Linked DNA regions of Arabidopsis thaliana. The protein of the gene in region 1 interacts with the protein of each later gene in a pairwise test. Each region holds a gene or a part of one and is shown in the gene's direction. Other genes may lie near its edges.

Region 1 (3,760 bases):
AATTATTGAGTTTTTTTATTAAGTTGTGAACGCATGCTCTCGTTGAGAGATCATTTACTCGAGCTAAGTTATGACTTGGATGGTTGTGTTGCAGGTGAAAGGTAGCTTTGCAAAAAAAAAAAAAGTTTGAGGTTATGTCTGCATGTTTCCCTGTATACAAACTCAACCATTTGTATTTTATTTTTTGGGTGCAAAAACTATAATTTACGTAGTTTTTGAACACTTTCATAACATCAAATATTACCCACGTGATAAGTGAAAACGAACCGAATATGTAATGATCAGCGAAGGTCCCTACGTGGAATTTAATATTTGTGTCATTCTTTTTAAGCAACACCAACAAGACACTGACATGGGTTGGTATTTATAAATTTGCAACGTAAAGTATATGTAGTAAGATTGTATCTTCTATGGTTGGGACTGTATCTAAACCAAACCGGTTTAATAGGGTATATATTTTTTTTGTCTTTGTCTTTGAATTTGTGGGGTCATAAATCACGGGCATCTTCATTTGGAAATGTATTCATAGTAATGTATATAAACTACTTTCGAGCCGACTTGGTAATGATTACGAGAATCCTCTGCTTTTGGAGTAAATTTCTAATTTAATATGTACGTGTATCTAGATATATATACGACGACATGTCGTTACCCAAATGCTTCGTTAGAGGATAGCTTGTTGAGAACTTGACTATGCCAATCATATATGTTTGTTTGGCTTTATGTAGCCCCAATATTAACAACTTAATACTAAAAAACCTAATAACAAAAACATTGAGTAAAAAACTACAGTACTTATAAGTAAAAAGAATAATGATAGTAGCTACTTCATATACATAATTTACATTTCTTAGAAATAATTGTTTGTACTTTCTCGAGTTAGTCAAAAATTAAAGTAGTTTTTTTATAACCGAAATACTATTTAGCTAGTGGAAACTATATTTTTCTGTTTTTGTGCAAGTAAATAGTATGCATATTTATAAGGGTATATGTATAAGCTAGCTCGAAAACCAAAGTAGAAGAGAGTAGGAAGGTGGTAACTGGTAAGTAGGGAGACAAGTGAAGAGCAGAGCTTCTATTCCTCCAATTATTTAGTTAAATAGTTGTGAGACATATTCCTTACATATTCAGTTTCACTATTTTATTCTCTACCACTTAACTTGTTAGTTGGAACTAGGTTATATGGTATTCAACATATACTCATACTTTGTACGTAGACGCTTTCTTGAGTAAATAAATTAAACCTTTCATCAAAATATATATATATATATATATATGTCTTTGTATATTAACAGTATGCACACACATATATATAATTTAGGTCCATAATTTTTCTACCCCGAAAATTAGAGGAGATTAATTTGGTCTCTTATCTACTATAATGTTCGAACTTGTGACTTGAAAATTCTCATTTTGACTAACTAATCAGTATACAGGCTAAACTATCTGATTAGATTTAAGAAATTAAATCGATATGATATGTAAATGAACACATAAATTTTGTGGTCTATTTTTAAAACTCAATTAAAGAGGGTAACCTCATGAACTTTTAAAAAGTATGTCGAAAAGTTGACTATAATTTGAGAAACAAGACATATGGAAAGGAGAACCATTTCATTGATCCATCAAAGTTTCTTTTTTCATGTTTTATCTTCTGCAAAAAAACTGTTTTAGGGTGAACTCTGTGGTACTTTTAAATAGGTTGTTCCGATCCCACTTTGTTGTATAAATAACTAAAAATAATATGTAGTTCCAATGAAAAAGATCATTATCAAATATTAGTAGAATGTAAGTGTATACAGTGCATAAACAAACTGGTTAACGTGTCAAATAAATTACAAATCAGTTAAATCATACAATATAGAACATTTCGCAGTAATCTGCCCCATATTTAGTAGATTTGTTTTTGTAAATTTCATGTCGCAAGTATAGTATTTAGATATTGCCAGAGGAGAAAAAACAATTTTTTTATAAATTTTTTGGCCATAGATACAATTAAACCAACTGCCAAATTTTAGCTTTTAATACGTAACGTAGGGTAACAAAGGATAACGCTATAGTCGCTATCTATACATTATTAGGTACATATTTATGCTTATAGCCATGATTACACAAAGATACGTATTGATGTGAGTGTATATATAAGCACGTGTCACGAAAACCCATCATAAGTTCACTACTCATAATCTCTTTCTCTCTCTCACACACACACACAGACACACACAAACATAGAAGGAATCAGAGAATAAAAAAAGAATGAGAATAAGGAGAAGAGATGAAAAAGAGAATCAAGAATACAAGAAAGGTTTATGGACAGTTGAAGAAGACAACATCCTTATGGACTATGTTCTTAATCATGGCACTGGCCAATGGAACCGCATCGTCAGAAAAACTGGTACTCTTTCTCTCTCTCGCGCGTTTTGTGATTATATATATTAACTTTAGTCTCTAGCTAGTTCATATATAAATATATCTCAGTTAGACTAAATTTGATTCGTTGATAGGGCTAAAGAGATGTGGGAAAAGTTGTAGACTGAGATGGATGAATTATTTGAGCCCTAATGTGAACAAAGGCAATTTCACTGAACAAGAAGAAGACCTCATTATTCGTCTCCACAAGCTCCTCGGCAATAGGTACATAACTTTATGTTACTACAATATTATACACCATGTCTTTTTATTTAATCGATCGTTAACTGATTTTTTCTTTCGTCAAATATTTGAATTGTTGTTTTAAACAAAGATTTGGCCGGTTAAGTTGATTTTTAAAAATCTAATTGAAGGATTTTCTTACTTGCAAATGTAAAAATAAAGAGAGTTGACAAGTAAAGACTGTTTTATTTCAATTAAACTATGTGTTCGTGGATTATTTCACATTTCAAAAGGTGTTTTCTTCACAAAATAAATCTTAAAAATAATCCTTTGAACTTAAAATATGTTCAAAATTTTCAAGTTGATATATTTTTCTGAAGAAGAAAAGAGTTGCACAAGATAAAAGTTTGTCTTCTCTTCAATGAAACTCAACCGATGTGTTGGTGGGTTATTTCAATTTTAAAAGGTGTTTCCTCCAAAAACAAATCTTTAAGAGTATCTTTTGAACTTAAAAATGTTCGAACATTTCAAGTGGATATATTTAATGAATAATAGACACTTTTTCATAAGTGTATTAGTCGTGCAAACAGTCACTTCTCAAAATTCATTATAGAGTTAGAAACGTTTTCCACAATTGAAAAATAAAAATAAAAAATCCTCTCTATGTATATAAATATGCATTCATTTATGAATCACATACAGATGTCGAAATAATAAAAAGAATCATAAACATATGGTATGTTATAATTTATGTTATATGGTATGAATTTAATAAAAATGTCCTATAATATTTTTTCCCCAAATTCAGATGGTCTTTGATAGCTAAAAGAGTACCGGGAAGAACAGATAACCAAGTCAAGAACTACTGGAACACTCATCTCAGCAAAAAACTCGTCGGAGATTACTCCTCCGCCGTCAAAACCACCGGAGAAGACGACGACTCTCCACCGTCATTGTTCATCACTGCCGCCACACCTTCTTCTTGTCATCATCAACAAGAAAATATCTACGAGAATATAGCCAAGAGCTTTAACGGCGTCGTATCAGCTTCGTACGAGGATAAACCAAAACAAGAACTGGCTCAAAAAGATGTCCTAATGGCAACTACTAATGATCCAAGTCACTATTATGGCAATAACGCTTTATGGGTTCATGACGACGATTTTGA
Region 2 (3,760 bases), on another chromosome or scaffold:
TAGTATATCCAAATTAAAATATTATTTTCTCAGCTATATCCATATGTCATTTAGTATATGGGAAAACATACAGTTTTTTAACATAGAAGAGAGGATACAAACCAGTTAATAGCAAAATAGTGTCATGCTTCCATTGTCCTATACATAGCATTGAATCTCTCACATCTTCTCGTACATGCCCAAAAGTTTATGATTTTAATGGCCGTGTTTACAACATTATTTCTTCTGTGCCGTCTATGTCAAGAAAATAACAACATAGTATATACCCTATATATATATATATATTACTTCTTTTTTTAATTAGTTCCGTTTATATATATGAAAGAGGTCTTACAGAGGAGCCTTAATGCTCAGATACAATCAAATAAGATAAACATATAGAGACGAGTGTTCTAGTAAGATCAGTAAAGATGTGGTCTAATTTTGTTGGAAATTAGCAAACCATAGCGAAAGATAGGAGTCAGGAGATGGAGTTGTTGAAGTGAAGATGACGTCTTGATCCAAACCAGCAAGGCTTCATCGGATTAGGAGTTGAATTCCCCATTTAACTTGAGTTAGTATTCTGATTGAAAATAACAATATATATTAGTGTTACATAAGTTTGGATCAGACAAATTTTATATTGTTGTATCGAAAGCTATACCAAATTTCCTAAATATTACCCTCAAACATCAACACATCCGATTAATTTACCGAAACCTCCGATCAACAGCACTACGAATGTTTAGACTTTGATCTTGTAGGGGACCGAACGTGTATATATATTTTAATGTTTTCTGACGTCAACGTCTCTCTCTTTTCTAGATGTCAGAAAAGGAAAATAATAAGTACTAATGGTCCATTTAGCAGGGTTTTATTTAAAGTTATATTTTAAATAGTTGCATAAATACTTCGAAAATATAGGTTTAATAGTATAAGAGAATTTTGAAATATAATAATATTGTAAGTATATGACTATAGGGAGAATCAACGTCGAAAATGTCCATAACATTTTTATTCATTTTAAAGATGTGATTGCAAAAATTAAGATTGTGTCTGTACGTATTGGGGGAACTCCTCGAGGCCAAACATTAATTTCGTGTCTTTCTTTGTGTTTCCCAATTTTAGTAAAGACTGTTCTTATATTATCTCTTTCCTCCTCAATTTATCTATTATTGTGTTTGTGACTATAATTTAGATTCATAGCGATTAGCTTCGTTTTGACACCAAGTAAAAAGCTGATGATTTTACTATTATTATATATGTTAATCATATACTCTGATTTGAGACATTATACTTTTGGTCGTTTTGTGTACTTTTGGAAAATTCATAAAACGATGTTACTCACCGACAATAATATATTTCGATCACTCAAATAGTAATAAGACTGATTAGATTATACAAAATGAAAGAAATCATACGATGCTGGTTAGATTGGACTTGGATCACATGCTAATGGTATTCTAGTCAACATTGCTTCAAAGATCTAATAGTCAAGGAAACAAATTTTTTTTTTTTGGTATCAGTGGGGATATTAAGTGAGGGAAACATTTTTTTTCAAGAATAGATGGGTGAAAAGTTCAGCCTTGACGTGATAACATTTTAACTTTAAAATCAGTGTTGGAAGAGACACACAATGATTCAATATTCCCAAAAAAAAGAGATCTCTAGAACCACAAAGAGACTGAATAGAGAATTTATTGAAGACAAGACCACAACAATGGACATTGTAGTTCATTGTCTTAAAAAAAGGTTGTTCTTCCCAAATGAGGAACTAATCAATCAACTTCAAGATAAAAAGAGGAACAATCAATCAACATCAGCGTTTTGCTTTTTTCCTCTACTTTTGTATCCTTTTTTTTTCTCATAAATCATTAAAAAATTATAAGTACTTTTTATTTTCGTCATAAATGTCTTGTGTTTTGTTCTGTACACAACAAAGATGATATCGTCATATTCAAAGAAAAAAAGGATTCGTAGACAGTTCTTCTAGTCTTTCGAGTTCAAGCTCAAACAACAACAAAATTAATATTCAAAACAACATTAATAAAAAAAAAGTATGGAGTGACCAAAGAAAAAAAAAACTCTCAAACATTTCTCTGTTTGTTCCGGCGAAAACGGCAACTGTTTCATCAAATGACAAACACAAAAACCTTAACATCTAGTTTGTATCCTCTCTGATACTTCAAAAAAAATGTAAAGAGTTACAAGTTTCCCTTTTTCTTTCTTTTTTAGGCTATAAATTTAACATAGTATCTTATTTCTTTCTAAATCAGGACAAAAAGTTTGATTTTTTTCTTTTCTTTTCTTTTTCCCTGTGTGTGGTTTCATGGGATATAGGGATGAAGAAACAATGGCTACCGGACAAAACAGAACAACTGTGCCAGAGAATCTGAAGAAACACCTCGCAGTTTCAGTTCGAAACATTCAATGGAGTTATGGTATCTTTTGGTCTGTCTCTGCTTCTCAGTCTGGGTAAGTTTCTTAAATCATATTCATTGAACACTAGATATTGGAGATTTTGAAAGATATTGATGAAGTAAATTTCTTGATTTTAATTGGAAAATTAGATAAAACTTATGTGTTCACTTCAAATCAAAACTAGTGTTTAGTTCTACAACTCAAGACAAGGTTCTCTAGGTTTTTCTTGATTCCATTGATTTTTTCTTATAAACTCATATAAGGTTTCTTGATCTTCTTTAAAAGTTCAATTTTTTTTCTCTTCTTCTTGAAGTTCTTGATTAGTTCAAGAAAATGTTTTGTTTGTTTTCTTTATTCGATTTGATATTTGTTTTTGTTTTTCTATATATAAAAAGAGTTTTAGAATGGGGAGATGGATACTATAATGGAGATATCAAAACGAGGAAGACGATTCAAGCTTCGGAGATCAAAGCTGATCAGCTTGGTCTACGGAGGAGCGAGCAGCTTAGCGAGCTTTACGAGTCTCTCTCCGTCGCTGAATCTTCTTCTTCAGGCGTTGCTGCCGGATCTCAAGTCACCAGACGAGCTTCCGCCGCCGCACTTTCACCGGAAGATCTCGCCGACACCGAGTGGTACTATTTGGTTTGTATGTCTTTCGTCTTCAACATTGGTGAAGGGTAATTCCGTCTTTTCCTCTATCAGCATTGACATTTATTATGTGTCATGATCGTGTTGATCTTTGCCAGTTTTAAACAACGTGCCAAAATATACTTTTAATACTAGTAGGTCCAAGGATTTCGACTTTTATGGTTCAGTTTAGGTTTGTTAGATTTCAGGGTTCTGCAGGAAAAAAGTATGAGCTAGAACCAATTTTTTAGTTTCAGTTTGGTTTCAAAATTTAATGTCCGGATTTGGTCGGTTTCAGATTACAAAAGAAAAAGTTAAAACATAATTAATTTTAAATAATAATGTGTATATATATGCATTAGTATGTTTAACTCTATTCTACATCTAATAAATTTTATTAATTCGGTTTGGTTGCAGTATATTTGTGTTCGATTCGAGTTTAGTTCGGTTTATTTATCATCACAAAAGTTTGTTTCTGTCCGGATTAATTAAAAAATTCGTTTCATTTTGGTCTTTATGAACACGGCTAATTAACTTTCAATAATTATGAATATGTTAGGAAGAAAAAATGTGGAAAAATTAAGCTTAGAATGCATTGCTGCTTTCTAAATGAACCTGTCTTTTTGCAGAATGCCTGGACGGACGTTTGCAAACGGTGAACCGATATGGTTGTGCAACGCTCATACGGCGGATAGTAAAGTGTTTAGCCGTTCTCTTCTAGCAAAAGTAAGTT

What was found. The genes of interacting proteins can lie anywhere in the genome.
Region 2: the proteins of MYB0 (region 1) and GL3 interact in binary tests that used the Arabidopsis thaliana proteins (3 or more experiments, as listed by UniProt).

Annotation. Positions count from the first base shown.
Region 1 is NC_003074.8:10,362,003-10,365,762, reverse strand, and holds the start of MYB0 (myb domain protein 0), read left to right. Parts: upstream 1-2,155; 5' UTR 2,156-2,256; coding exon 2,257-2,395; intron 2,396-2,504; coding exon 2,505-2,634; intron 2,635-3,400; coding exon 3,401-3,760. UniProt on the Arabidopsis thaliana protein: Transcription activator, when associated with BHLH2/EGL3/MYC146 or BHLH12/MYC1. Involved in epidermal cell fate specification in leaves. Together with TTG1 and GL3, promotes trichome formation and endoreplication.
Region 2 is NC_003076.8:16,527,125-16,530,884, forward strand, and holds the start of GL3 (basic helix-loop-helix (bHLH) DNA-binding superfamily protein), read left to right. Parts: upstream 1-1,965; 5' UTR 1,966-2,173; coding exon of another isoform or gene 2,174-2,175; 5' UTR 2,176-2,308; coding exon 2,309-2,454; intron 2,455-2,795; coding exon 2,796-3,077; intron 3,078-3,656; coding exon 3,657-3,753; intron 3,754-3,760. UniProt on the Arabidopsis thaliana protein: Transcription activator, when associated with MYB75/PAP1, MYB90/PAP2 or TT2. Involved in epidermal cell fate specification.